Lytechinus pictus: one gene and its partners. The protein of the gene in region 2 purifies or fractionates together with the protein of the main gene of each other region. This does not show direct contact. Links are inferred from orthologs where the notes say so. Each region holds a gene or a part of one and is shown on either strand. Other genes may lie near its edges. The genes, in order: RANBP2-like and GRIP domain-containing protein 8, serine/threonine-protein kinase PLK1-like, TATA element modulatory factor-like and protein regulator of cytokinesis 1-like.

Region 1 (7,782 bases), on a different chromosome or scaffold from region 2:
GAGCTGATATAAATTTGAAAAGCAGAAAAAAAAGTTTTCACTGCAAAGTAGAGGTAATTTTGGTCCCGAGAAATTTGAAAAGCAAAGAAGGTTTTCACTTCAAAATGTATAAAAGATGAAGGTGATTTTTGTTACATATATCCCTTTTTTCACACCTTTGAGAGTTCAAGGGTGCTGCCGATGGACGCAGCACCCCCGCTTCCCAGGGCCATGATAACGAGTAAACATCATTATAGAATTAAAGTTTGTAGATCCTAGTTAGTTTAAAAGTGGAAGTGAAAGTTGTTAGGAAACACATAAAGATTTTCTTATCCCGAACATTTTTACATGGATATCAATATTGAAATTGGCATTTTAGCGAAGTTAGATTCAGTTAGATTTAAGTTGAATTAAGAATGCTCGTCTTATTGATTGTCCTGGTTATATTCTCTTAATCTTGTGTTTTTCTCTAATTTTTAAAGAATTTATTGGATGAGGTTAAATATTCAAAATCGACTACGGTAATTCAGTCAACCTTTTTTTTACTCTGCATGGCAGTCCAGTGGATGTATTTTTTTTTTGGGGGGGGATGATAATGATAATGAGACAAAATACATAGTTATTTAAAACACACATGTCCGCATTGCAAACACACTCAAACACACCCACACATATGCACACACACACATTCGCCAGCAGTGTATCTTTGATTGGCCATGGGTGCATGGGGTGAAAAATTTAGGGGGCCCGAATTTCTGTCTAAATGTTAGTGACATCCCCTCTCCCAAAAAAATAATAATAAATAGATAAACAAAAAAATCTCCTCTCACGAGGAGCATTTTATCCGTACAAGATTTTCAGACAAATAAGAAAAGTCTTTCACAACCATGCAAAATGTCGCAGTTTATGTGCAACTTTCATACTAATCTCTGATCGAATATGTTTTATTTTCTTTCCAGCCATGTTATAATTAGACTCCCTTTTTGGATATTTTGACGAGCACCCTCATTCAATACCCCCCCCCCCCTCCCGCGTATGTTATACAAAAAAAGTTTATTGATATAAAATCCTGACATTGAAGGATCATCATCAAAAACAAAGAAACATAAGAAAAAAATTAATACAACATAAGCATAACATAGTAACAAAGTATTCATAGCAAAACAAAAAACAACAACAAAGAAAAAAAAGAAACAAAAAATACCAATCTTCGATGAAATGTTAAATGCGAGATACATATCAATGCATAAATATACACACACATACATAATATACCTAAACATTAATACACCCATATACAATAAGCATAGTATCATCTTTTTTCTTTCAAGCATCCTTAGTTTCTCCACTTATATGACTTATTCCTTTAACACATATTTTGCTAATATCCATGTCAGTGGCGGACCCTGACCCGGAGGAGACAAAGCATTGGAGGGGCACAGCATTGTTCACAAACAATACAGTGCCCCTCCAATACTTTGTCTCCTCCGGGTCAGGGTCCGCCACTGATCCATGTCATTGCTACCTAATATCAATTGGAATTTGTTTTGTTAGTTATTTTCATAAAATCCGGCAGTACCTCCTTTCATAGGCGGCGGAAGTGGGGGGACGTGTACCCCCCCCCCTAAATTTGAGGTGGGGGCGGTCCCCCCCCCCCTCCCTAAATTTTTCGTTGATGATTTTTTTTTTTTTTTTTTTTGCTTGTCAAAATTTTTTGTCGGTCCCCCCTAAAATTTTGGTTGATATATAACTTTTTTTTTTTTGCTTGTCAAAAATTTTTGGTGGTCCCCCCTAAATTGTTTGGCTTCCGCCGCCAATGCCTCCTTTAGCTTGTTTAACTTGGTATTGTTGTATCCAGTAGTGGTTTGATGGGTGCCTATTTTAGCCTATTATAAAAATAAAATATAAGCCTAGTTGAGTAGGTTTTTCTCTCTCTTTATTCCGGGGGGGGGGGGGCATGGGTGATGAGCTGGGTCATTGAGTAGTAGTTGGTACTATAAGTATAATGTAAAGATATTTTTTTAAACAAGTGCACACCAAGTTACCAACAATGCATATAGCATTTCTATTTATTTGAAAGCAGGATAGAAGAGCATTGTACATTAAATGCCTTGCTCACGGGCATAGGTGCCGCGGCCGGGGATCGAACCCCGGACTTTCTATGTATAACCAGGAGCCTGAGACCACTCGGCCACGGCACCATGACGTGAAAATATGAAGAAAGGATAAGTTCCCGAACCTCACCCCCTCGATCTTCCATGGCCCTCTCTGGAACTGAGCGAACGGTGCCGGGAGTGCTTCGTACGTGTTATAGGGAGCAGTGACCCCTGGAAATTTGTTAGGCATGCAGCTATGTAATCAAAATCACCTCTATTTTGTAATGATTTTTTTTCTTTTTTGCTTGTCAAACTTTTCCTGGATCACTAGACCTGCTGAGCTCACCTTCATTTTGTAGCGAAATTTCTCGTGATCGACCATGCAAAATGGCATGGCCCTTGGAAGCGGGGGTGCTGGGGATGCCGCTAAAACATAACTTCCTCAGGGGTGCTGCGTGTATTATTTTCCATAGGCTTGGCCCCAAAGTGTTCTGGAAGCTGTGTAAAAATTGAGAAATGTCACCTAAATGACTTTCATTTTTTATTGAAACCTTTTTTTTTCTTCTTTAATTGCTTTTGAAATTTCTCGGGACCAATTTGACCTCTCTTTTGTGGTGAATTCCTTTTCTGTTCTTCTTTTTTTCCCTGCTTCTCTAATCTCGGGACCAATTTGCTCTCCATTATGTATTCAAAACCTTTTTTTTTTTGCTTATAAAATGATTTACACACCAGCACCCCAGTAAAAAAAAATTAAAAATCATTCCAAATGGCCTTCATTTTATAATGAGAACCCCTTTTGGAACTAGTCAAAGCTTATCCTGCACCCCCTGTTTAAAAAAAAAAAAATCGTTTTTAGGGCCATAGGCGGCGGAAGCGGGGGGGGGGGCGGGAGGGACATGTCCCCCCTAAAATTTTAGTTGATAACCTTTTTTTTTTTTTTTTTTTTGTTTGTCAAATTTTGTTGTTGGTCCCCCCCCCTAAAATTTTGGTTGATAACCTTCTTTTTTGTTTGCTTGTCAAAAAATGTGCTGGTCCCCCCTAATTTTTGGGGCTTCCGCCGCCATTGTCTAGGGCCCTGCCCTCTCCACAGAGGTGTGCCACTCGATCCCCTCCAGTGGCGTAGCTACGGGGGGCCTGGGGGGGCACGTGCCCCCCCCCCTGAGATTTGGTGTGCCCCCCAGGTGCCCCCCCTGAAAAAATTGGCAGAGCAAAAAAAAGGGGGAGAAAGAAGAAAAGAAAAAAGGAAAAGAAGAAGAAAGACAGAAGAAAAAAAGAAAAGGAAAATAAAAAGGAGGAAGACGAGTGAATGAAATAATGTGAAGGGAAGACTTGCAAAAAAAAAAAAAAATCTTTCATGTTACTATATAAAACTTTTGCTTACGCTTCGCGCCAGAATTGCCTGTTCGATGAGATTCATATCTTGCTCAATAGGCTGATATGGAGCAAGTTTTGAAGTCAATATACATGTACAAAATATATTTTAGCTCGGACATCGAGCTTTCATCAATTTTTTTTCATGAACAAATTTAAGTGCTCTAGCTGTAAAATGTCCCTGTTTTAGTCTACATATCAGCATTTTTTAGCTCACGCTGCGTGGTCAAATTGTTTGATTTGCCAAGTTCCTATTGTCTACGTGTATTCCATAATGTTCCATTAAACAAAATGTATTCAGACTGCCCAGATTCTAGGTCTAAATCTAAATCATGTGCGATAGCCTGCATGTTCTTTATATTAAATGTACTTAAATTATCCAGTTTCACATCAGAATATCAATAATTGTATGCTCACGCTTCACGATCGCATTAAATAATGATACCCAATTAACTACATCCTATTTATGATTTACAAAATATGAATAGAGTGTCCCGCTTTTAGGTCTAAAATCTAATTTTTCTTCCTCTCGCGCTTCGTGCTCGCATCAATTGTTTAGTTACATACCTATCCCATTTATTAATACAAAAAGTGCTTAGAATGACCACTTTTTATGTCGGAATGTCAAAAAAATTTGCTCGCGCTTCGCGCTCGCATTATTGAAATATATACCGTCTTCGTGGGTAACTGTAAGCAGTCCTTAACAGGTCCCTTTTCGATAATGCTAGAACAGTTAATAAAAATTTCTGCTCGCGCTTGGCGTTCGATCGCAGTAACCATCTAGTTACATACGAATCTTGTTCACGGATCACACATAACATTGCCCAGAATCATTTTCAGGACGAAATACATGAAAGTAACACCAAAAAAAATCGCTCGCGCTTCGCGCTTGCACTTTTTATAAGGCTTATGAGATTATTTCATGTTTATGTTCTTTTATAAAAATAAAACTAAGTGACTGATCGGGGGAAATATAGGTGAAGATAATTTCGGGCCCCGTCCCCTATTGGCCAAAGTCGGATCCGCCCTTGTGACACATACACACACAACGGAAAAAATGGTGCCCCCCTGAAAAAGCAAGGACCCCCCAGTGCCCCCCCCCCCCTGGGAAAAATCCTAGCTACGCCACTGATCCCCTCCCCTGGGCCTTTCATCTCACGGTGAATTATGAAGTTTCGGCAGCTACTCGCAGAATTAACCGTCTGATTTGAATTAATTCTTAAAGATACCATAACATTTAAGATTGAAGCGCACCGGTTTGAAAAGGTCACATCCGCCGTTTGGTTTCTTTTCAAATGTGAAATTTTACAGCGATTATATCGTTTTATTGTCGCATCTAATCAACAGATATGTCTCGAACATATCGCAGCAAACATGAGGCTGACGAATTTGCCGAATCTGTAAAGAAAAGAGCAAAAAATTCACAAGAGGTAAGAGGGTATTCGCGTTATTTCATCATAACGTGATTTTGTATTGTAATTGAAAATGGTAGTCCCATTCATGTATTTTCATGTTTGTGTGCAAGATGCCAGTTACATCTGAGTCTGAGAAAGATCCACCCACGGCACGGGTACATTACCGCCGCCGTGCACAGGATAACCACTGGCACGGCACTTGCAATAAGTTTATTAATTTTTTTCTAAAAATTTGAAATAGATAGGGCCTACCTATTTAAAATAAGATAAGCTTTGAAGTTTGGATATGAAACCAAACGATATGAAGCCAATTTCATTTCCTCTCTGACTCTGTCTTTCTGGTACTAGGCACTTCAGTCGGGCGGGCGACCACGCGGACACAGCGCTAGACGTAGATTTTTGCATTGCAGTGAATGGCGAGCGCCTATCTAACACACACAGTTCGCTCCGCTCGGCACTTTGGCCGAGCGCTGGAGTTGCATTCGGCATTGCTCGAAAAGACAGAGTCAGTTTCTTCCTTTATTCCGCTGATTTTGATTGGTCAAAAATTCCCGCGGTTGCTTCGTACATCTTCGGTAAACATCGGAAATATACAAGACGGAGTCTAACTTACCTTCATGCGAGGGAAGGACCTAATATTCAGGTATTTATTTTTCTTTGCTTGAAATCACCTTGTAATCATCGGATCCCTTGTAAACTCGGTCAGTAATAAAATTGTATATTTGAGAACATTTTGTGAAATTCTAATCAAATTGAGCTTCAGTTTTGAGTGTCATGAGGTGTTTGTGAATCTGACTCGGCCGATCGAGCAGGGTTGTTTTGAGCGTATACGAACAGCTGTGAGTGACGTCATCCCCACTGCGTTGGGCCTGAGATTAGTCTTGGTATTCAGACACAGTATGTTTCAGCCGTTGTATATTTTTTTAAATTACGATTTGAGCTCTGTTAATTATGAAAATCAAATTGTTATTTTGAAAATAATTTTGTAGAATTCGTGTGAAATAAGTATTAAGAGCAAAACTGCAAGTAAACTTCAAGAATTTTGTTTGATATGTGATTTTTTGTTGGAATGCGTCTGAATGTCTAGAATATGGTATTGTTAATGAAAGTCGTATTTTTGAATGGCACAGAAAGCTCCTTGCATGAATTTAATTTAGAAATAGGTTTACATACATGAGATGTGTTTCATGAATTTGATATCTGATTTATGGACCTTTGTTATGGTGTTAATTATTAATTTGAAGATATTATGAAAAAGTAAGAGAAGACAATAATGAGGCAATTAACAGTGATGATGAGACATTAATAATATGAGACAATAAACATTGAGACAATTATAATAATTATTATGATTATAATAATAACAATTATAATTATAATGATAATAATTATAATTGTAATAATTATTGAGACATCAATTCTAGTATTTATTGACAATAATAATTATTACAGTAATCATTATTATAATAAAATAATTGTAATAACAATTATAATGATGTACTTTGAATTGTAATAATTACTGAGACAATAATATTAATGAGATATCAATAATAATCATTATAATAATAATCATTATAATTAAAATAAATATAATTGTAGAAACAATTATAATTATAGTAATTATAATTATAGGCCTTATAATTAATGAGACAATAATAACTATTATTACAATAATACTAATTATTATAAAATAATTATGATAACAATTATAATGAAAGTAATTATAATTGTAATAATTACTGAGACAGTAATATTGAAAGGTCATCAATAATTATTATTATAAAAATTATTATGATTATAAAAATAATCATAATTATAATTAAAGGCCTTATAATTATTGAGACAAATAACTATTATTACAATAATTATAAAATAATTATAATGATAATAATTATAATGAAAGTAATTGTACTTGTAATAATTACTGAGACAGTAATATTGATAAGTCATCAATAATTATTATTATAAAAATTATTATAATTATAATTATAATCATAAAAATAATAATTATAATTATAGGCCTTATAATTATTGAGACTAATAATTATTTCAATAATAATTATTATTATGAAATAATTAAACAATAATTACTATGATAGTAATTATAATTGTAATAATTATTTAGAAAATAATATTAATGAAACAAAAATAATTATAATAATAATTATTATAATTATAATACTAATTGGGACAATAATGAAACGATGATGAGACAATAATAATATCAACAATTTTATTGAGACCATAATAACAAGACAATAATGAGATAATAGACAATTGAAATCAATCTGTTTTTATTTTTTTCTAGAAATCCTAAGATTATTATTTTAATTCTCTTTCTTTGATTACAAATTATATTCATTGAAAACTTAATTTCTAATGTTCAAGCAAAGAAAATCAATATCAAGTCATGTTTACCCTGTGCACAAACCTACCACAGGGCAATTACCCCCGAAATAGGGTTAGGTTAGGTGTAGATTTTTGGATAGGGGTAAAGTGTAGTTGTCCGGGGGGGGGGGGTAATTGTCCAGGGTGGGTGGGGGTGGGGGGAGGGAAATTGTCCGAGGGTGGGGGGGGTGGGGGGTTATCGTCCAGGGGTAGTTGCCCTTGAACCAAAGAAATCATATGCCAATATGTCAAATCAATCTGAGTACTTTAAGATTTAAATAAAAAGCTTGTACAATTCCCCATAAGCTATGTATTATAAATGTGCCATGCCCAAAACAAAGAGAATAATAAGATTTCGCAATCTTCTTTTGTCCACAAAAAGGCCTGTTTTTTCATCACAAAGATGACAATAACTCGACTTCTAGATATCGGAATTTGAAAATTCAAACAGTTTTGTGAATCGTAGATATTGAGCCTCATTGTGAGCCCATCAAATATGCTGGAACAGCCTTTCCTAATTTTCACCTGAAGTG
Region 2 (8,095 bases):
TATATATATACGACGGGAAATTGTAGCGAACTAGTTCGCTATTTTCCAGATCTCCTCTATATACGACGGGAAATTGTAGCGAACTAGTTCGCTATTTTTCGGATCTCTTCTTTTGTAGCGAACTAGTTCGCTATTTTTCGGATCTCCTCTTTATATATACGACGGAAAATTGTAGCGAACTAGTTCGCTATTTTTCGGATCTTCTTTATAAAATTTTATACACGAGGAGGAATTGTAGTGAACTAGTTCGCTATTTTTCTAATCTTTATATATACAAGAGACGGAATTGTAGCGAACTAGTTCGCTACAATTCCCCCTCGTGTATATAATTTTATAGAGGAGATCCGAAAAGTAGCGAACTAGTTCGCTATTTTTCTGATCTTTATATATACAAGAGACGGAATTGTAGCGAACGAGTTCGCTACAATTCCCCCTCGTGTATATAATTTTATAGAGGAGATCCGAAAAGTAGCGAACTAGTTCGCTACAAAGCCCGTCGTATGGATATAGAGGAGATCTGGAAAATAGCGAACTAGTCTGCTACAATTTGACAATATGGCATCAATATATACAGCCAAAACCTGCAGATTTTCACTTTGAAGCCTTCACAATAATGTAAGCTTTGGAAAAAATGACAACTAGTTCGCTACAATTTCCCCCTCGTGTATATGAAGAGATCAGAAAAATTGCCATCTAGTTCGCTACAGTTTGCCATGTTTATATTTTAGAGAGGAGATGAGAAATGGCGAACAAGTTTGCAACAATTTCCTGTCGTATACATGTAGAGGAGATCCGAAAAATAGCGAACTACATGTAGTTTGCTACAATTCCCCCCTGGTGTATATATAGAGGAGATCCAAAAAAATAGCGAACTAGTTCGCTACAATGCCCCCTCATATATAGTTCGCTACAAATCCCGTCGTATGTATATAGAGGAGATCTGGAAAAATAAAAAAATAGCGAACTAGTTCGCTACAATTCCCCCTCGTGTACATATCGAGGAGATCCGAAAAATAGCGAACTAGTTCGCTACAAATCCCGTAGTATGTATATAGAGGAGATCTGGAAAATAGCGAACTAGTTCGCTACAATTCCCCTCGTGTATATATCGAGGAGATCCGAAAAATAGCGAACTAGTTCGCTACAATTTCCCGTCGTTTGTATATAGAGGAGATCTGGAAAATAGCGAACTAGTTCGCTACAATTCCCCCTCGTATATATATATATATATATATAGAGGAGATCTGGAAATAGCGAACTAGTTCGCTACAATTTGACACGTCGTATATTATAGACTAATACAAGGAGATGGCTACAAATTTCGACGCTTATATATAAGCGTTGAAGATCGCTATATTTGCCATCTTATTATTTCCCTTACGCTTGAATTTGAATTTAAGACTTACGCTTGATTTGCAATTGAACATAAGTTTCTTGCAGTGCCCCATAATTATGTTTTGTTATCAGATATTTAACGTGCTGATTTTTCTCGAAAGGTATAATATATTTGTCCTTTTAAACGGTATTTGAATATGGGTACGCCTTTTATTTGTTTTCCACAATATTTATTGCATGTATGAACAGAAGTGAAATATTTATTGTGAAGCACTGTGAATGTTGTGTGATGGTTCATCATTTTTGTTATAAGACTGAAAGCCTGGTGGATGTGAGGAAGTGGCCTGGATGAAAGAAAAGTGAACATGTGTCCAATTACTGATTTGCATATTCTAAGACAATTTTGTTTCTGGATAAATTTTGCTATGCATTCCCTACATTAAGAGTAAAGGAGAAGTCCACGCAATCAAAAATTCATTTGAATTTAAAGAAAAATAACAAGATATTGCAGGAAATTTCATAAAAACTTTGATTCAAATTTATATAATTACTATTTTAACAGTTCCGTAAATATAACCTATTGTGATCAGATGAAGAGTTTCTATCGTCAAATCTGCAAAGAATAAAAAACAAAATGCCACAAAAATAGAAACGAATGTGATGTGAGTGACAACTCTAATTTGCATATCATTGTTTTGTGTATATGACTGTTTTGAGTAAAAACAACAAGGGAAATTACTCTATTCAAATAATTTTTAGTTGATGTGGACTTGACTTTTAACTCTACCCCTCCCATCCCAAATAAGAGTAGAAATAATCTAATCAAGAACTTGAAAATCAAAAGCAGCAATTAAGAAGCAAGATATGATAAATACAGGTCTGAATAGAATTTCACAAGAAAATAAAAAGAGAAAAAAAAAATGGGTAGGGACAGGGAAGGAATAAAAAAAAAATACCCAGAAAAAAAAAACGAGTTTCGAACCAGGGTCCTCGCACATGACAAAACAATGGCCAACGCATTTGGCCACAGACCATCTCCCTAACAGGAAGGCATTTTTAAGATATATAAAAGAAAGTCCGCTCGCCGCTGTTTCCTAATAATGCTTCGGCAATTCAACTGCAATTTCAGTCATTTCGCGATGGATATTGCCGTGTTTTTTTTTGTGGTTCCTGACTTTGCTACTTAATGAAATTTCATAATTTTTGTTCAGTCATAAAGAAGAATGTCTATGCTTTATATTGACTATAACATTAATGTGACGCAAGTGTGATTTCTACGTGAAAATATGCTTTGTTTATTCACATATATTTCTTGAAAAAAAAAAAAATTCTAAGCTAAATATCGGTTACCAAAATACGTTAAATGTGCACTTTTTTTCACTGTTCAGTAAATTCAAACTTTTATCTATATAACAAGACCAATCTTAAGAGGAATAAACAATTCTAAGAGCAAAAAACGCTGATTGGAAAGATCGTCTCCAATGGGCTGCTGTCAGCTCAGCTGCACACTGCTCATTGTGTGACGTCACTCAGCTGGAGCTCGCAAGAGGACCGGTGGAAGGCAGAAATATGGCATGAAAATAAATCATTTTTGAGAGCTGATTTCTGCAATCTCTGATCACTATTTTGAAAAGTGAAGTTATATATCTGATTAGTAATACTTCCCCTTTACAATGATGACCACATAAAGTCATTATAAAATACTTTTGATTCTTTGGATGTATACTTTAAGAAAATGGGAATGTTGGGAGGAGTTTAGGGAGAGCTAAATGTGCCAAAAACAAAAACAAAATGAAAATAAATGAATAAAATAAATTAATTAATTAAAAGTATAAAATGAATAAATGATAAATAAGTTAAAAATAAAATAAGAATAAATAACGTGTGTATAAATTATATAATAACGATAATGAATAAAGTATTTTTTCAATGAATGCTTAGGCATGAGAGTATTTTTCATTAATATATATATGTACATATATATTTTTTTTTTCATTCTTACCATTCAGAGAAGGAAAACGTTTTTTCCGCCCCCACACGAGTAGAACGGGAAGGTTGTGACGACGAAGGGCATGGGAGGGGGGTTATGGGGAGGGGTAGAGGGTAGGGCCTGAGGCTGATGTTGTTATAGGATATGAAATATATGAGGAATGAGGCCAAGGTGTGGGGAGGGGGGTTATGGAAAATCCTTGTTAATGGCTTTAATTCGACTAGGTTGTATTAATGATTGGTTTTGTGTATTTGGAAAATCTGTTACGTTGTGAATATTTTGACACAAGAAAAAAAATCGAGTACGTTGAGTTTTATTAGGTTTTATTGTAACACTAAAGGAAAAAAGAGAAAATTTAAAGTGTATATGAGTTTACAATGTATTCATATATTAATTTGTAAAGATATATTGTATTTGATGTATGTATTTTATTTTGTATATGACATGTATGAATTGAAGTTGTTGACAAATAAAAACTTCTTAATACAAAAAAAAAACCACCACTCGAATAAGAAGACTGTCGTTATATTGTAAATATCATCCGCTAACGTAGAACTAGAAAACAAAATCGGTTAGCTCTAGTGCAACGAGCCACGAGTCTGATAGTGATACACAAAAAATTGTATCTTCGGCGACGTGCATGAAATATGTTTTTATTACGACTGGTACCGAAGTCTATAGTCTGACCATTGATTGATTGGTTGAGCGTGAGCGCGCGCGTCACAGTATGGGTCAAAAAGTTGTTTTTCTTCGCTAGATAATCGTCCATTCGTCCTGTTGTCCAATTCAGAATTCCTTGGAGAATCTTTCATTTGCAGTTGTGTGATATTAAAATTAGGAAACTGAATATGGTGATAGCGAACCTGTGAAGATCGTTTCAATTACCATCTTGCGAATAACGTCCTTTAGTGTGTATAGTCCGTACGTACATGCACAGGATATACGTCCTTAACCGACCAATCAGAGAATGGCTAACGTGCTGTCTTTAACGGGACGTTAGCGAGCCGTCTGTGTACGAGGAGAAATAAAAAAAATAAAAAAAGTTAAAAAACTCCTCGAAACAGACGGCTGCCAGCTGTCTATAGGATACACTGCCATACTGACACTACTGATTACTGTGTCTGTACATGTCCATCTACGATACACACAGAGACACTGCACTCACGCACTGCCACTGGCATCCAATCCTACTCCACAACCACACACTACGACTACGTCAGACTCTGACCGCGCTGACATTTACTACTCTTCTTGGGGGCAACAGAACAAGGAGAACATCAGAATACCTGATACTCATATTATTCAATGTCATACATGTTTCATACCTTCACTCCAAGCTTTATTTCTCGGGTCAAAAGACAATTTCTGTCGCCGTCGCGGCTCCGCAAGCATCGCCATCTTGTCGGTGCACGTGGATCAACTAAAAATATGTAAATAAATCTAGCTTCTTTATCAGACTGTCTGAATAATAGAAAAATAATTATTATTTGTTTTTTTAATTGTTTTTTATTATAAATGGTATCAAATAAGAACAGATATATTTATCAATCGTAATTATGAAATTCCTTTATACTTTACAAAGAAATATACATAAATAAATATTTAGAAAATGACCCTAAATGCCTTGTACCATATTTAAATTTATGAACAACTCGGTTTAAATGTCCGTACCTTCGTCCAATCAGAGCAGAGTATTTGCGAAAGCGGAGATCTTCATCGGCCAATGAACGACCACTATTCATTGAATACCGGCCCGCTGTTTTTAAATGCACAAAAGATCGTCAGAAACAGGCGATCGCAGCTGACTTGATCGACGCATTGAAATTGTCTGCAGTTTTTTGGACAAATTTTGAAATATTTTGGCTTAAAATATTAAGATGGCGTCAAGACATAAGGAAGATCTCAGAGTAAAGGAAGTTCCTGATGTTGTTACAGATCCATCAACTGGAAAAACATACACAAAAGGAAGATTTTTGGGCAAGGTAACTCGTGAGCTTTTTTTTTTTCATTTTCAGTTAGTGTTGAGTCGTGTTGCCTGTTGAGCTGTGTGTGTGTGAATAGTAAAGTGACCTGCAGCTGCACTGCACTGTGCACAGCCACAGTGCCAGTGGAGTGTGAGGTTTTGCGTCATTTGAATGGAGTCAGGAAATTGTGTTGAAATTTAATGGATTATCAAAATAGTGGAGGTATCAGTTAAAAGAGAAGAAAGAGAGGGGGCACATATCTGCGTACCGCAAGGTTAAACGAAATAAAAAGTTAGTTAACCCGAGTGAAATGAGGCAAAAATTAACATTTATTTTAGAAAACTCCACAAAAATTTTGGTTGATATACTTTTTTAAACCAGGCCAAGACAAGTTTATAATTAAACTTGTTACTGTTAGGGGGATTGGAATTTGGAACAACTCAACCTCGCCTCCGCCTCCAAAACGGGGCTGAGCTGGATCTCATTCTCAGTTTCTCACCTGTTTCGTGAAGACGTGATTTTTTTCTTCATAATTTTGTGTTCATTTATCTTCATTACGATATTTCTTGAAAGTTGAAACAATTGTTCAAGCAAGGAATCAGCCGGATCATCCGCCCGGATGGTACTGTAATTCTTTCTATCTTGACTAACTTTGTTAGAATGTTCAGTATTAGAAGGTCTGTTTTCATTGAAATAACAAAACAAGATCTAGAAATAGAATCATACTGTTTTTTTGCAAAAAAATATTAGAATTGGAACAAATTATGATTTTCTTGCAAAAAAATGTGGAAAGTCATTTTCAGATTAAACTAAAAAAAAAAGTGATCAATGCCCAAATATGAGACCATGATCATGACTTATACATCACACTACATAATTAGCATGTTAGATTTCGATCAATTAAGATTTTATTCACTCTATCGACCCCCTCTCGGGTACTATGAGGTATGACTATGAGAGTACAGCATATGGATATTATGGGTCAATTCATATCAAATCAACAAATTTTCAGACAATTTGTCACCCGACCCCCTCCGATCTTCAAACTTGTGCCAGGAGTAGCTGCTCCTCTGTGACTTATTCCATCACAAAATTGAAACTTTAAATAAAAAATTGTAAAGAATGCTTTGGTTGATTTTCATGAAAGCCTCACCAATATTTCTTTTTTTCAAATGATTGTCAGGGTGAACTTCCCTTTTTAAAAGTGATCTACATCACATGTATCTAACAAGACAAACAACCCACCTGGCCACTTCCATTAACTAGTGGATTTTATAGGCAAAAAACTTCTCTTTTGTAACTCATGTCATCAGTCGTTCAGCTGATATTTTCAAAATAAATCCCCTGTCCATAGCCCAAGTACAACACATTAAACAACACATACCTAAATGTTCTTTTATAGTTATACATTTTGGCTTACAATAGTTACATGTAATTTGCCGAAATTCCCCCCACCGCATGCGGAGTAGGCCTTGGAATTATAGGTCTTTAGAACCACAGGTCCATGGTGGAACATAAGGGGGGGGGGATATTTTACAACTGTTGAGTTCCTAGATTTATATTTCTCCCTCATTGTCAATGTGGGCCACAGTGTAAAGATGTTAACTTGCCCAATGCCCCAATCCATACCCTACTAAAAATACCCCAAAAAAAATAATAGATGTGTTCTGAGGAAAATCCATCAAAGATTAAGAAAGTCATTATATTTTTTTTTTATTTGTGACATATGATCTCAGCTGCCCCAATACAAAATACATAAATTTCAATTTTTTTAACGGTTCATGATGACTTCAACTTCTTTTTTTTTTTTTTCTTTCAGAAGCAGGTGTTAAATGATTTGTATGTTGATATACTAAAGGACTCTAATCAGGGGTGTGAGAGTTCAGATTTTTATCTGATTTTAGATTTTTTTTTTTTTTTTTGATTTTCAGCTTAATTTCAGCTTATTTTTTGCCTTCCTCTGTACAAAAAGTATGGGAGCTCTTTCTATTTCAGACTTTTTCAATACTCTTCAGCTTTTTTCAGATCTTTTTATTTGTGACCACTCACACCCCTGTCTAATTTAAACCATTTTCAATTCTTTTAAGAAAATGACATTTCATTGATTTTTTTTACTACAAGATGTACATGTACAGTGTAGGCTAAGATAGCTGTTACCCCTTTCAAATGCACCTGTGGCTGTACTGAGCCATTACATTATTTTTTTCTTTGTGTCTATACAGGGTGGTTTCGCTAAGTGTTATGAGCTGACTGATGATGCCTCCAAACAGATCTACGCTGGCAAGGTCGTCTCGAAAGCCCTTCTTGTCAAACCTCACCAAAAAGACAAGGTACTATATATCATGTTACACTTTTTTTTTACACAGGGATTACCGGTAAATGCTGATTCTTGCTGAAGTAGCTTTTTTTTTTTTTTTTTGGATTTTGTGTTTATTGAATCGACAATATTTTTGAAATGTACATAAAATTGAATACAATTCGACACAAACAACCATGGAAAAAATAGGGGAAAAAAAGGAAAAAGAAAAAATGCTATATGGTTAGCAGGTTATTCCCTTCAAATTTGGTAGCAAGTCATTCCCTGGTTTGTATAAACTTCATGTTATTTGTCAGATTCAGATATAACTTAGCATTTATACCTAATATACTGTCTTTATTTCTCTTTCAAAAAAAAGAGAGAAATAATAGACAGCATTTAGGAATTTGGGGGTAAAATTGGAGTTGCATGTACCTGTACTGTATTTAACACTGACTATGGTATGTGTGCATTCCTGCACCCTGTATACAGCAGGGCCCCGTCTTACAA
Region 3 (7,963 bases), on a different chromosome or scaffold from region 2:
CTGCAGCTGCAGATGAAGCTGTTGCGACTACAGCAGTGCTTAGACATTGGAATAGCTCAGATCTTGGAGGAACACTTCATCAGGTTAGTATTGAATGTTTGGAGTGGATCTATAGGCCTAAACATTCTAACATTAGTCTACAATCATTAGGAGTCTGTCTGTCGCGTCGTCTGAAACCCGGCGGGGGGGGGGGGGGAATTTAGGATGTTTTATATGATCACACTCATCATAGTCAGCTACAGCTGAGCCTACGTACGCACCAGCAGATTGGCTGGCTGGATCGAGCGAACCTGGCTGACCCTGATCTGTTTGTCATAAAATTTCGCTATTTTCTAGCATATTTTTCGGAAAGCTGGTAAGCTATATTTATCTTTATTATTCTAACCCTAACCCTAACGCACCCTTTCTACATAGGCACTGTAGTTAAGCGGAAGTTGTTGTTTGCTCCAACATTACAAGCCCAATGGCAGTCATCGGTCTATTGACAGAGGGGATGCCGCGGTGCCAAACGAAGTCTCAGCGGAGCATATCTCTGACAGAAATAGACCTATTTATTGGTTTAGATGCGCATATATTTTCATTCATAAACTGGCTTCCAATCGTAGCTGTGTGATGTCATGTAATATGCCAACCCCTAGCGGTGGATGTTATGTTTAAGCCTGAGTCGAATCGATTTTAAAATCGGTGTTCGATCGATGTCATCGAGCGCCGGTGCAGATTTTGCAAAATCGGTGCATTGAAAAAAAAAAAAAAAAAAACGTCAATCGGCCGATTCGTGTGGTTCACACAATCAATCATCAAAAATCAAAATAACAGTAATGTCCTACATGTACTTGACTACTACTTACTTGATTTATATTGCCCCCAAAATGAAACCGATTGTGTAATTATGATGCCTACCGTATATTCACCATTAATTTGAAATTTATTTCGATCATAGTTTGAGTCTTATACTCGTCTGCTCTTGCCGAGATAATTTATGCACGATGAATTCATGAATGGAAGTCGCCATTGATCGTGCATGCGCAGTACTGTGCTTTAATCAAACCAGAAAATGGCCGGAAAATTGGCGCGATCAACGTAAAATAAATCTTGCTTTCATGAACAATATTAATATCATGACCATAGAACACAATTTAATCGTAATAATTAACAATAATTCGCATATGATAATCATTAATATGAATTTAGAGCTTGATGTGAAACGTTTTAATTTCCTATCAATTTCCAATGACGGACATCACATGACGATCGACTTGAGTCGTGCACTTGTCTAAAAAAATAATTATCACGTCAGGATTGATTCTCGAACATTGTCAACATGCAGATACTCTTTTCAAGATCGTAATATCACCATATAATAACATTTTACATGACAAAACAGAGAAAATTGCGTTTGATATTTTTCCCCATCAATTTGAAGCTATTTTGTGCCCAACTTTGGGCTCTGATTTCATGAATGGAAAATATGTCATACGTCATCGAACGCGCATGCGCATTGTGCTTCTTTTCTCGGAGCTCGAAGACGTCGTCCAGAGATGGAATAAAAATAAAGATAATGCCAGTATAATACTATTAATTCTTCCATATGAACATAACATACTTGCTGACATCGTCATTATTTTTAATATGGCCATAAAAATCTTATTAAATAAAATAGTAATTATTTAACATCCAATAATAATTTATATGAATTTAGAGCTCGATCCGAGACATTTGTATTTATTTTGATCGCATGCTCTTGTGTCTGACTTTAAAATGAAGAATGGATTATCAGGATTAATTCTCGAACATCGTCATAACTCATATTCCACAATATTTCCTCACAATCGTTATATCAGCATTGAATACCAATTCAAATGACCATCCAGAGAAAATTACGTATTTATTCCCATCAATTTATTTGGAACTCATTTTGGATCCAACTAGCCCGCCAACTACATAATCTCAGGAAAGTTACAGCGCTCTCCTCTGTTCGCACTTGTTTGCTGGCGCTGGCAAGCACGCCTGTCGTTTCGGGGAGAGTGGGTGTATGGGGCTGCGGACGGGGCTGGTGTGTGCGAGTCTGGACTGCGAGTGCTAGTCGACCGAAAATCATTCGGATCGACTCTGTGTGATTCATGCAACGCACGCGTCTGTAACGTTGGCGAAGAACAATAGGAAACAAGATGGCGGCGTAAACATCGGGCAAGTCTCTTCCGTTTTTTCACAATATTTTTCTCATTTTTTTTATTAATTCCTGTTTAAAAATAACAACGAGAGCGTAGAAATGTCGGAAATGAAGTTTTATCCCATGTACATGATTTAGTTTTAGGGCTAGATCTAGTTTTAGAAGGAAAGTAGAAATCTCGGGGTTGAAAGTTTCAGGTTTAATTTGGCGTCCAGCATGTCCAGCTTCGTCATTGAGTGGGACAATCCCAATTTTTGGACCAGCGCCTTACTGCGCACAAACAAACGTTGAATTTGCAGTTAATGGACTGCTGACTTATTTCACGATATTGCCAAAGATAATTACCTGAGCCTGAGGTAACTTGCTGCCCTGGGACTGGAGATGAGTATCCTTCCCCTGACAAACTCGCCGAAGCCGAGCCCGAGGCAATACCTGAAGTTGACAGCGATGGCTGTCGGTCAGTTCCCGCGGAGCTCCGGGCAGGCTGAGTGCCACTGCCGGTGTCACCGCCTTCCTCATCCTGAATGTCGAGAACTTTGTCAATGGATTTTTGCGCCGTCGACAATGCTGTTTTAGCAAAAGATGAGAGACTAGCTTGGTTAAACCAGCTCATGTTTCATCCCCAAGCCCCTTACTTCATTAATTGGAGTAATTTCCTCTGTTTTCGATGACTTTCCTTTATTTTTCTCGCTGTCGACACGTAAACATTGATTTTCGTGTGAACAATCTATTATATAAAGGGTCAGCCCGTTTCGAAGATCGATGAAGATTGGAAAAATAAAACATATTCAGAATAGCTAAGTTCATGTAATACTTTACTAGCTTGTCCAGCAATTATTATATATCATATTATTTGTTAATTATTGGTTTATAAACGCACAAGGAATAAATGAAAGTTCTCTTAATCCGTTTACTTTCCCTCATTTATACGTTAATATAATGTCCCTCAATCTAATGGATTCATCTTATCAAATTGACATTTTTCAAACGGATCAATTCAAAAAATATTGACAAAGAGTTTAAATATATGTTATATTTTATTTTGTTACTTTATGATGAATTCAATGAATTTCAATTAATTTTCAGATTGATTTTAGAGTACACAAATATATTTAATATATGATTATATTGCACAAATGCAGTCAAATCGGTTACATAGTTTTAGGGATAAGCTTGATGCCAATTTGAAATAAATGAAAAACCGGTTTAGTTTCTGAGAAGTGGTTCGTTTCATCACAGCGAAAAATCATTACCGAGAGGGCTTTTATTGTGTCATTCAATTATTTTTAACAATTATTCACAAGAATCAACCGAAGTAATACTGAATTATGACCTCGAGTAAAGATAATGCGCTACCTCTGCCAATATCTCTTTAATTGCTCTCCTCTCGCCAACCGTCCCCAGTGGCGCAATAGGTTAGCGCGCTGTACTTATAGACAGTACCCAGCACCGTCTGGCTACAACTGTGGGCATGCGGAGGTTGTGAGTTCAAACCTCACCTGGGGAAATCGGTTTTCTTTTGCATTTTTTTCTCAGTTTCAAAAATTGCCCCAGATACTAATTACATATCTTAAATGATGAATTCAGTCTCCAAAGCGATATAACAGTGTAGTCGGGTAGGTGAATTATCGGATAGTCTATACCACTTGGTGTATAGACTTACTTATCGAGTTCTGGACCAACATATGAATATTCATGACTTGCGTCTTCGGATTGAGAGTACGCATGCGCAGTGGACTTGGCCTCGACCAGTACCGATCGTAAGCATTCACGTTGCTCAGAATGAATTTACCCCATCTCACTAGGAAGGCGATCATAGCGACCATAGCGATCTGTGTAAATCCCGCAAATCGTAGCAGAATCTTCCTCGAATTCTATTTTTAGCCTGCGAGACGATTGCACTGCAACTTCTCTGCGACCGACCTGCGCTGAAGGCGATGGTAATACGCTGAAAGTACGACGATGCACTTTCTTGCGACGATTCGAGGCAGATGTGATGCGCTGCTTCTGCGATCAAAGCGATCGTACAACGAGTCTCATACGCTAATTAGGACCTCGGTACGGTGGTGCTACGAATGGAGCGATTATGTTACGTTCATGATGGGCTCTTGAAACGATTTCAAGTAATCGGCATATTAATCGCGGCACATGACACATTTTTCAGTCGACTGCCAACCTCCGACCAACATGGATGTCCAGAATTTGGTTGGACTTATACATCTTAGCATTCTACAACAACATCAGTTAAAAGTTGAATGCGAGGACAGGAGAAGGAGGAGGCCAAAAAGATACAGGGTCCGATCCTGGCTGTCACCTAAGTCATAATATACAATATTTATTAAATTTTCATTCAAAAGATGTCGATGAGCCAAATAGTTAATATGAGGGATGCATCCAGAATTTCATAAAAGAGCATAAAAATCTTTGATATTCTGTTTATTTTTTTTTCCACAAAAGTTTGTCACTCAAAAATATTTGGTAAATTCCTTTCAAATTTGCTGACAAGAAGTAGTCTACTGATGTGAGAGCACTCATAAAAAAGGGAGGGGGGAGGAGGGGGGGGGGCACAATGCCAGAATCTCCCTAAAGATTGCCTTTCCCAATCAATACATTAGTGATCGAATCATTAACAAATTTGATATTGTCTACTGTCACTGTGGTTAGAATTCAATCTAGTTTTAAAACATATAGTCAACTTATATATTTCTGCAGAGGTAACCCATTTCGTCATCAAGACATGTGAGCGTCTTTTTTTCTCTTTCCAGTTGGCTCAGCAGTAAGATTTTCATCCTCCTCCTGTACCCCCTCCTCCTCCTCTTCCTCCTCTACCTCCTCCTCCTCCTCTACCACCACCATAACCCCTTGTTCTTCCTCTTCGACCGCCGGCCTAAGAGGGGTAGCTTTGGCAGCTTTCCCTATTTTGGTCCTTTTTCTGGGAGGTATGTTTGAAAACGTCGTGGTGTCGCCTCGTAATCTGCTGCAAATATGATAATCTGCCACCATCGGCACGGCATTTTATAGCAGCGCGGACGGTCGTTGCGCAATCGCTGCCCAGTCATCAGCGGCGCAGCAAAAGCGCAACGCGAATGCCTGTAGCGGACTGAGAACGTGTGCCACATGCCACCCAAAGAAGAAAGCGTCGCGGTTGAAGCTGTGTGAAGCGTGTCGAGCGCAAGGCAGTCGCCTTGTAAACGGAAGCAGCGTAGCAGAATTGTCTTGGGAACGGGCCTGAAAACCACGGGCGATCGGTGCCGCTTTTAATGCGCTTATACTACGCTTTATGCGTTGGGGCTCCGTTACAGCTACGAATATGTCGTTTGTAATACGCTCATGACTCGATTGTGATGCGCTTTAGCACCTCCGTGATCTCGCTACGTAAGTTTTGAACATGTTCAAAATTTTGTGGCGTCCAGGAAGATGGTGGCGATCCTTGCCGCTTCAGAAAAGATGAAGGTACGACGGATAAGATTGAAAAGATCAAGCCACGATTAAGCTACGTTATTCCACGCTTTGTCGCTTTTTGACGATCGCAGTGGAATCGCCATCTAGTGAGATGGGGGTATAGTTACATAGGTCTTATAGGCTTAGATCTATATATATATATATATATATCCAATTCTTAAACACTTAATAAACTAGCTGCCATTAATGGCAAGACATGTGCAAGGGTAGGGCTAGCTTAGGCTAGCGCATTAACTTTACCTCAAATATGGACCTGTCTAATTAATGCCTAGTACTAATCAGTGTTGTAGTGCCTTGATGCACGGCCTTGGCCTTAAGGCGCCTTAATGCCTAGCTACTTATTATTTATTTATTTATTTATTTATTTTGTTTTATTTATTTTATACTGCAGGGTAGGCCTGTTCAGTTCTTAAAACTGCTTTACAAAGGCGCCCTGCAGTTTAAAATACATGTCAATATAACTATGAACAACTACAACAACAACAAACAACATCAAAAATACAAAATACAAAATATCTAACATCAGAAACAATTAACACCAAAATATAGAGTGGGAAGTGACAATTTAAACATACATAGCATTGTAAATCAATGGAATATTGCATTAAGTCTTATTTATTAAAGGAAACCTTCAATAACAAGCTTTGCTTTCCAGAAGGTTCCTATTTCATTTCAAAATGTTATATTATATTTTGCTTTACTTTGTAACTTTGTCGAAATTTTGGAATGAATAAATTCGTTGTCAATCAATCAATCAAATCAATATCATTTCGCTCTTTATCAATTCGTATGAAAGGCTTTGCATATTTTTTTAAAAACTAACAAGGAGGTACAAACTTGTAAATTTGAAGGAAGTGCATTAAATAATTTGGGTCCGACATATGCGAAAGATTTTCTTTTATGTTCAATTCTAGCTTTGGGAAGCTGAAGGGGGCACCGTAAAGAATACCGTGTCCTGTATTTCACGGGCCGTTTACATACTAAAGGTTTTAAATAATTTGGAACTAAATCATTCATCATTTTATATACAAGAACACAATTCTGATATTTTATACGCTGATCTACTGATTGCCACTTCAGTGACTGCAACAAAGAAATTTGTGATGTATTATAATCTTTTTTCAAAAGCATTCTGGCATATTTATTTTGAAGTTTTTGTATCTTATCTAAATGTATTTTTGCACTGCTTCCCCAAGATGTAATACAGTAATCAATGTAAGGTAAAATCATACACTCTTAAAAATGTTGGGCAACATACGGTCCACACAACAATTGGTTAAAACTTTATCCAATTCTGGGTAGTTTTACACCAATAATGTGTGCTTTGGGTGAAAACTACACAGTATTGGTGTAAAACTACCCAGAATTGGATAAAGTTTTAACCAATTGTTGTGTGGACCGTATGTTGCCCAACATTTTTAAGAGTGTAGAAAAGTACAGCTTCTTCATGATATCAAAGGACAGTAAGTGCTTAATCCGCCTTACACAACCTATTGCCCGAGATATTTTACAAACGATATTAGTAACATAGGCGGATCCAGCTTTTGGCGAAGGGGGGGGGGGCGCACTGCCGAGCGGCACACATATTTTTGCACTTCACCGGTGCCATAAAAGAAAATGTTAAAAAAGGGGTAAAGTCTGACCCTGTCAAATGCTCTTTTCAAAATGTAGGATTTCCAGTCATTTTGCATGACCACACGCAGATAATATTTCCGGGGGGGGGGGGGCAAGACTCGAAAATTTGGTGCACATCTCACATTTGCACATTTTTCATAGTTTTCATGAAATGTTAAGGAAAAAAAAATGTTTTTCACAACAGCAGATCGCGAATGTGCCCCCCTCCCCTCCTTCCCCCTTGCTGCGTACGACCATTCCCTGAAGTCCACTTAAACATATCTCATTATAACAGAAATATACATCAATTTAAACATATAATCTTTCTAAAACATATATAGCAGGGGCCGCGGAACGGTTTTCAAAGTGGGGGGGCTGAGCCAAAAGTGGGGGGGGGGGGCTGACCATGCTAAAAATCACAATAATATGGTTATTTTTACGTTTTTGTACACGGTTTTTGAAAAAAGTGGGGGGGCTGAAGCCCCCCCAGCCCCCCCGGTTCCGCGGCCCCTGTATAGAGAGAGATTGAAAAACTTATTAAAGAAAGAAACAAGCAAAAAGTAACAGAAATTATGCATGTTATGTGCGATTTCAAAATCTCGTGTATTAACCCTTTTATTGCGATGAGGCCAATACTTTTTTATATTAATAGAGATACAAGTTTTTTTAAAATATATATGTATCTATATATATACACAGGGGCGTCGATCCTTTTTT
Region 4 (7,867 bases), on a different chromosome or scaffold from region 2:
ATTCCTGTAAATTGGATCTTACCTTTTCTGCTGTGAGTGTATCGATGTGTTCTCTGAGGATGCTAAGCTGTTCCTGTGAGGGTACCGTCCCTGACGGAATGTAATACGGTGTGGTACAAAGGGTGTCGCAGAGGTTCTGTTCAACCGTCTGCAGGCCCTCCAGGGAACCCAGTCTATCTGATTTCTCCTTGCTCAGCTGCTCCACCTGGAGTCTCAATGCTTTCTCCAGCTGCAGGATGGAGATCCCGCTCTCGGGCTGAAGGAGAGAAACCAAGATTAACAAAAGTGACAAAAAAACAATCTTGGTAATAAAAATCGATTTACTGGTAGTGTTAGGAAGTCTCAAAGGCTATGTCCATTCTTATATGACATTGAAAATTAAAGACAAAAAAGAATAAGTGCACAACAATGAAAAAAAAAATTACTTAGGAATTGATTGTTCAATGTTTATTACATCTTTTCAATTTCAGTTCCATTATTTTAATCAGTGATCTGAATACATGTAACATGGAAGACAATTTAGTCGATTATGTCACTCATTTACCTTGAATAATGTACGAACAATGTTAGACTTCTCAAAGGAAGAGTAACATTTTCATTACACTATCTCATTGTGATAAAATGAAGATTTTGTTGAATGATCATATCATGAAAATGAAATTAATAAAAAAGAATCATAAAAAAGAATCATACCACTTTCAAATCAATCTAGCAAATAAAACTAAAATCAGACTCACATTTGTGTTGCTAACTTGCTATACCATTTCATCAGTTAATAAATATTTTTTACCTCATATTGCTGAAGTGCCAATTCTATACAAAGCGTGTGGACCTTCTCTGTTGATGATGCCACACTCTTCATGAGTCTTTGCCTGAGGGATTCCTCCTCTGTCACCATCTCTGATAGCAGGTTACGGATGTGATGCAGAACAACATTCTGGCGTTCTACCCTCTGGTCCTCACAAATACCGATCTCATTCCAGATATCTCTCAGTTTGTCTAGGGCGTGCTCTAAACACTGGCCTATCTCCATCTTCATGCTCTCCCTATGTTAGAAAAGAATAGGGAAAATAAAAAAAAAGAGGAGAGGAAGAAGGAAAGAGGAAAAGGGGAGAAGAGGAAGGATTTTGTGTTGGAACAACATAAGCAACAGCAACAAGCATTCTGGGCGATTTCAAGTTCGATATTAAACTTTAGGTGTTGGTGTCAAGCGACAAAATATGAGCTATTGTTACATGCATGAGCTGGGCAACTGTATTCATGTATATTGACTACCGGTATTTGAAGTCCTATACTTATCTGACATATTTTCAAAGTTCAAACAATGCATGAAATAATGTTTTCAAAGTGAAATAGCAATCTTATCAAGACAAAATAGCCCATCAGGAAATATAGTAACTACAAAAACTCATATTTATGTTAAACACATCATGGTTTCAAATGTCTGGCTTGCCGATCTGCCAAATGATCATGCAACTGCTTTCCATGAAAAAACCCAAGATGCTAGCATAATATGAACATCACCTTATTTTTCTTGTGGTTCCAAAATAACTTTATTGCCTAGCATTTTGTGAAAAGAAGATAAGTTTTCAATAATCATTTTGTCAAAATGAGCAGAATACTTTTTCAAGTTTTATTTTATTCCTGCATGGTTTCGCATCGCAGTTTGTCCTGCTTGTTTACAAGTTCATTTAATGTTTAACATTTTTATTTAGATCTAATTGCTATTTTTTTTCTCCATTGTTATTTATTGTTAAATTATTATTGAATTTGTTGTTCATTTAAAGTTTATTGTTTGTATCTCATGTATTATCTAGAAGTTCCAACTTTTACAATTTTGTCCATCAAATTGAATAGGATGAAATTTATCAAATTTGAACAGAATTTGTACTTAGAGGAACCCTTTAGATAATTTTTAATTTCTTATTTGATAAAAACATTTATACAATCAGCTTATCACCTTTCTGAAAAATGTGCTGGGATGGGAAATAGCGAATTTTGATAGCAAACAGATCGGGATCAGCCAGGTTCTGCTTCGATCGCCGTCAGCTACAGCTGAGCGTGTGGACGTGCCAGCAGATTGGCTGGCAGATTCATTATAATCATACGCTCAGCTGTAGCTGTGCTGACTGCGATCAAAGAAGAACCTGGCTGATCCTGATGATCTGTTTGTCAGGTGGTCGAGACTCGATATGTGGTGGTCTCACTATATACCTACCTGGGATTTCCGCCCATCCCATGTCATGTGTACAGGGACTCAATGACAATGGCCATATGTTTATAAATATATTAAGTTTGGATAAAACAGGGAAGTGAAGTTGCGCGACAGTCGAAGTAAGTCACTGTTTTTTCCCTTTTAAGTTTATTTTCTATTTTGCCCTTTTTGGTACAGTTCTTTTTAATTATTTACGGTAGGATGGGGGGTTGGGTGTCCGGACACGTAACAGAAATGAAGCCTTGTTTTTATCTCAAGAATAAACCAAAAATATAGGTTGAATAGTTTTTTTTCACCATCAATATTTGTTCTTTATAATATTTTCTAATATTCTGTGCTAAAAAGAATTAAAGACATTGCTTGTAAGCTTTTCAAAATTGAGAGTAAAAGTCATGTGTCCGGACACCCAACCCGTCCGGACACACAACCACTGGGTAGTATAGGTTATATATTTTTATGAAATATTTTAAACTTTAATTAAAGACAAAAATCGATGAGCCCCGTCTGCCCGTCGGGGGGATTTTGCATTTTTATGTTAACCCCCTAATGGTGGCTGCACGATAGCGAGCCGTCTGTGTACGAGGTCGAGGACAAATTTACAAAAAATAAAAATGTTAAAAAACTCCTCGAAATAGACGGCTGCCAGCTGTCTAACGTTACACTACTACAGTCTAGGCAATTCGCAACACAGTCACAGACACAGTGCACAACGCAATGGCATGCATGCACACACTCGCACTGTCACTCACGGCACTGCACACAACGTCAACACTGGAAAAAAATAAACACTCCAAGTCCAATTAAGTTTTGGCCGATCAATTTGTAATATAAATAGATAAATAAATCATACCTCCGTTTTGCTTCCATATTTGATAAATATTTCAATGTGTATCACAGTTTATGACGTTTATAAATCAGCTGTTTCACAATCAATACACACTTCCAGTTCCATGTAGATTCGCGACGTGCTTTAAATTTTGAAAAGCTCGCAAACAAGAAGCCCGTCTATTGGTCAAAATGAAAAATTGACACAGTTAGTTCACGAGATGGCGCTAGACTCCAAACGATGTCTGTCACGATCTGTCATCGAATTTGAAATGGGCCTCATTGATGTAAACTACTTATCAGAAAGAAATCAAACCCCGGATCACTAGCGTACCTACGGGGGGGGCAGGGGGGGCACTCTGCCCCCCCTGACGAGATTTTGAAGACCTTTTTTTTTCTTTTTTTTTTTTTTTGCTTGTCAAATTTTTTCTGGTACGAAAATCTTTATTTTGTATTGATGACCCCTTTTTTTTTTTTTTTTTTTTTTTTTTTTTTTTTTTTTTTTGCTTGTCAAATTTTTTCTGGTACGAAAATCTTTATTTTGTATTGATGACCCCTTTTTTTTTTTTTTTTTTTTTTTTTTTTTTTGCTTGTCAAATTTTTGGGCGGCCAATTTTACCCCCCCTGTGAAAAATTCTAGGTACGCCACTGCCCCGGATCAAACCCCAATCCAACCCCCATTCTTGAACAACAATTTTAGCATGATTTGGAAATTTCTGATAAACTGATGAAAGTATAAAAAATAACAATTTTTATGAGAACAAAAGCGAGGTTTAATATTATTTATAGATGACATTATTAATATTGGCCATGGTCCAACGGGTCTATCTATCTTAATTATTATTTTGAGACCCTCCGGTATATAATGCGATTTATTTTACATTTATGTTTTATTTCTCATATTTTGGATATTTTTATTGGAGGAGGGGGCAAAGTGGCTTAAATATGACATCATGATTTTTTTGTTGAGATGTAGGGGTATTATTAATTTTTATTATAGAATTACATTTACTCTCATTTTTATCTTATTATTTCTTCTCTTTTCTTTGCCTTTTTTCCTCTTATTTTTCCTCTTTTTTCATCTCTTACTCACTGTGGCGCGTAAAGTAACTGTTTCGTAACAATAAAACAAATAACAGCAACAACAAACAACTTTTGTCTATATACATGTATACACAAGTGTACGTGTCGAGCTGACAAAGTAAAATTTCATATCTCAAATGATAATTATCCGGTCACTTTACCAAACATAATTTTATTAGTGGTGTTTTCACAGTTTGCTGTACAAAATTGATTTGATGATGGTGATGATGTTTAACAGCATTTGCATATACCATATAGTGCCATTTATCTGTAAAAAAAAAAAAAAAAAAAAAAAAACTTCAGAGGCGCTGGCTCCCAAATATTCACAAACTTTGCGGAGCAAAAAAAAGGGGAAAGAAAGAAAAAGAAAAGAGAAAGAAGGGAAAAGAGAGGAGAAAAAAAAGAAATGAAAAAAAAAGAGGAGGAAGGCGAGTAAATAAAATAATGTGAGGGGGAAACTTGAAAAAAAAAAAAAAAATCTTTCATTGTCACTATATAAAATTTTCGCTCGCGCTTCGCGTTGTCATTGCATGCTCGATGAGACACACGGTACATACCTTGCTCAATACTATAGGCTGGTATGGAGTTTAAAATATCAAGTTTTGAAGTCAATATATAAAACATATTTCAGCTCGGACATCGACCTTTCATTTTTTTTTTACAAATTGATTTTCAAAAAGTGCTCTGTAAAATGTCCGTTTTATTGTCTGAGTATCAACTTTTTCAGCTCGCGCTGTGCGCTAGCACTATTTGGTTTGCCAAGTACCTATTCACTTCATGTATTCCATGAAGTTATAAAAAATAGCCCTTTTAAGGTTTGATTGTCAAAACCAGCTAGCGCTGCGTGCTCGCATTTTGATTGGTGCATGCGTATATTGTATACATCTGTAGTAATTTTATAACAAACTATACTTAAAATCCTATTTTCATGAGAGTTTTTCAAAAATTTCGGCTCGCGATTTGCGCTCGCATTAATTGTTAAAAATATATTAAACCATGCATCATGTTCATAATTACAAAAGTGCTTAAAATGTCCAGTTTTTAGGCCTTAATGTCATCAGATTTCGCGCTTTCATTGGGCTTATTAGATCAAGGAATAAGATAATAACATTTTCATTAATTCATAATTAAATTGTCCCTTTTTCAGAAAGAAATATCGGATATATCAAATATTTTCATGATAAAAAATGTATTCAAAATGCCCAGATTCTAGGTCTAAATCTACAACACGCGAACGCATGTTTATTGAGATACGCAGCTGGTTCTTTATTTAAAACATGCTTAAATTACCCAGTTTCATATCAAAATATCAAAAAAAATCCTGCTCACGCTTCGCACGCGCATTATTAATGAGGGAAGATCATTACCCAATTAACACATCCTTTTCATGATTCATAAAACATGAATAGAGTGGCCCGTTTTTAGGTCCAAATCTCATTTTTTTCCGCTCGCGCTTCGCGCTCGCAATGTTTAGTTATATACCTATCCTGTTTACGACTGCCAAAAGTGCTTAGAATGTCCGTTCTTTAGGTCGAATGTCAACAAAATTCAGCTCGCGCTTCGCGCTCGCATTATTTGATTGTTGAAATATGCATCGTCTTCATGGCTAACTGCAAATAGTCCTTTTTCGATCAGGCTCGCAGTAATTATATACATATCTTGTTCAGAATCACAAACATTGTCCAGAATGTTCAATTTTCAGGACAAAATACATGAAATTGCCAAAAAAAATCATATTAGATATATTTATGTAGTTTTATAAGAATATAGCTAAGAGGTGACTATTAGGACTACCCCCTTTAAAGAAACAAATTAAAATCAACTTTGAGCGGCTGATCGGGGAAAATGTGGGTGAATTTTTTTGTGGTCAATTGTGGACCTAATTACTTACCTAAAGGGCATCCTTGCGAGATGCTGCGAGCGCGAATCACGAGCTTAAACTTTTGGAAATTTTATGTAAAACATCCGAGCAGTTTGTGTAATCATGAAAAAAGGATGTGAATCTAACTAAAGAATTTAATAAACTGACCAGAAAAGGAACTTTTTAAAAACTGCATTAAGGACGTTCCACAGTTATGTTTGTGCGCATTATGATCTGCGCATAGTTTACACTCTGCGCGCTGACGTCACAATGGATGAACAGGTGATTAATTAGCTGCGGGTATGAGCTGATTTTTCTCATCTTCTGCACTTTAACTGCAGATCCGATGCGTTATTTCATGAAGATAAAAAATTGAATTATTCCATGGACCATTCAAAAAAATATTCTCTACAATTTCAAAATACTTTACTCTGCAGGGCTGCCAAGAATCACGAATATTACCCCGAGTTTGAATAAATGGTAGAGTGGTTTTGATTTTTTCTTCACATAGATACTATGCTATCGATAGTGTTAAATGGATGTCAATTGGAATGTGTAAATGAATATAAATGTTTAGGAGTTATCATAGATAACAATCTCGACTTTAAAAAACACGTTGACAGCATATCTTTAATTGTAAAACAAAAACTAGGAACTATTCGCCGCTGTAAACAGTATTTTGATAAAGCACAATTGAATAAGCTGTATTGGGCTTTTGTAATGCCCCATATAATGTATTGCTGTACCGTCTGGTCGGAAAGATCTGAAATTAATCACAGTAAGTTAGAGAGATTACATAAGAGGGCAGCATACATGGTATCTAACTTCTCTTGGGAAACTCCATCTGAACAAATTTTCAAAATATTATCCTGGCCCAAAATACGCAATGTCTTTTTTAGAGCATCTCGCTTAATGGTTCATAAATGTTTACACGAAGCTGCTCCCCAGGTGCTTTGTGATAAGTTTATTTATATAGAGAAAATATCCTCCCGAACAACTAGAAGCACAAATAAGATGATAATCAGGGTGCCATATGCTCGTACAACCTTTTATCAGAAATCATTTTTTGTCACAGGCCCATTACATTGGAATAAACTACCCGAACACCTCCGATTCATAGAAAACATTAAACAGTTCAAACGGGAAATGGCTAAATGGGAAAAAACCTTTAATATGTAATAGGGACTAATGGTGGAATCTATTTTATTCTTTCTCCTCATTTTGTACATATTTTATCTCTTTTCATGTGTATATAATGTTTTCGTTTAGTTTTAGGTAACATCTGTACAGTATCATATTTTATTTGTTCTGTTATTTTCCATAGTTAATTATGCTTATTTCATTTCATTTTTTTTTTCAATATTAGTATTTATGCTCTATTCTTTGTTTATAATTGAATATGTTACCATGTTTTATATTTGTGTTTGTTCACGAAGGGCCTCAACGAAAACCAGCTTGTTGCTGATTGAGCTACCCTTCTTTTAAATATTTGAAATAAATAAAAAAAAAAAAAAAATAAAAGCATTCGGCGCATTTTTGGTGTTTTAAAAAGCACATTTGCTCTGATAAAAATGCTGATAGTTTAAAAACAAGCACATGAACCCCTATTTTTTAATGTTTGTACCTCTAAGGTATACCTTCCTCTACAACTCTGCAAATTTTGGTGAAAATGACATGGATTTTGAATAAAGTGCAGCATTTATTGTACGTTTGTAGTTTGTTACTGAAATTTTACATTTTTTAGATTGGGATTTTGTTATCTTTTACGCCATTTTTAAGAACTGACAGTGCTGTTAAACTTAAATTTGCAAACAAATAGCACTATAAATAGATTATCCATTCTAACGATACAATTATTAACTCTCTTGCGAAATTTGATGACT

Evidence for each region.
Region 1: the proteins of serine/threonine-protein kinase PLK1-like (region 2) and RANBP2-like and GRIP domain-containing protein 8 purify together in Homo sapiens (affinity purification with mass spectrometry; 3 studies listed by BioGRID and IntAct, with this or other methods). This does not show direct contact. The link is inferred for Lytechinus pictus from reciprocal best matches to the Homo sapiens genes PLK1 and RANBP2.
Region 3: the proteins of serine/threonine-protein kinase PLK1-like (region 2) and TATA element modulatory factor-like purify together in Homo sapiens (affinity purification with mass spectrometry; 5 studies listed by BioGRID and IntAct, counting the BioPlex papers as one, with this or other methods). This does not show direct contact. The link is inferred for Lytechinus pictus from reciprocal best matches to the Homo sapiens genes PLK1 and TMF1.
Region 4: the proteins of serine/threonine-protein kinase PLK1-like (region 2) and protein regulator of cytokinesis 1-like purify together in Homo sapiens (affinity purification with western blotting; 4 studies listed by BioGRID and IntAct, with this or other methods). This does not show direct contact. The link is inferred for Lytechinus pictus from reciprocal best matches to the Homo sapiens genes PLK1 and PRC1.

The regions. Positions count from the first base shown.
Region 1 is NC_087260.1:25,314,715-25,322,496, forward strand, and holds the start of RANBP2-like and GRIP domain-containing protein 8, read left to right. Parts: upstream 1-4,673; 5' UTR 4,674-4,795; coding exon 4,796-4,876; intron 4,877-7,782. UniProt on the Homo sapiens protein: E3 SUMO-protein ligase which facilitates SUMO1 and SUMO2 conjugation by UBE2I. Involved in transport factor (Ran-GTP, karyopherin)-mediated protein import via the F-G repeat-containing domain which acts as a docking site for substrates.
Region 2 is NC_087250.1:7,528,987-7,537,081, forward strand, and holds the start of serine/threonine-protein kinase PLK1-like, read left to right. Parts: upstream 1-5,095; 5' UTR 5,096-5,202; coding exon 5,203-5,307; intron 5,308-7,511; coding exon 7,512-7,619; intron 7,620-8,095. UniProt on the Homo sapiens protein: Serine/threonine-protein kinase that performs several important functions throughout M phase of the cell cycle, including the regulation of centrosome maturation and spindle assembly, the removal of cohesins from chromosome arms, the inactivation of anaphase-promoting complex/cyclosome (APC/C) inhibitors, and the regulation of mitotic exit and cytokinesis.
Region 3 is NC_087254.1:37,089,728-37,097,690, forward strand, and holds the start of TATA element modulatory factor-like, read right to left. Parts: upstream 3,138-7,963; 5' UTR 2,784-3,137; coding exon 2,516-2,783; intron 1-2,515. UniProt on the Homo sapiens protein: Potential coactivator of the androgen receptor. Mediates STAT3 degradation. May play critical roles in two RAB6-dependent retrograde transport processes: one from endosomes to the Golgi and the other from the Golgi to the ER.
Region 4 is NC_087256.1:19,309,435-19,317,301, forward strand, and holds the start of protein regulator of cytokinesis 1-like, read right to left. Parts: upstream 3,248-7,867; 5' UTR 3,083-3,247; coding exon 3,066-3,082; intron 1,047-3,065; coding exon 791-1,046; intron 257-790; coding exon 23-256; intron 1-22. UniProt on the Homo sapiens protein: Key regulator of cytokinesis that cross-links antiparrallel microtubules at an average distance of 35 nM. Essential for controlling the spatiotemporal formation of the midzone and successful cytokinesis.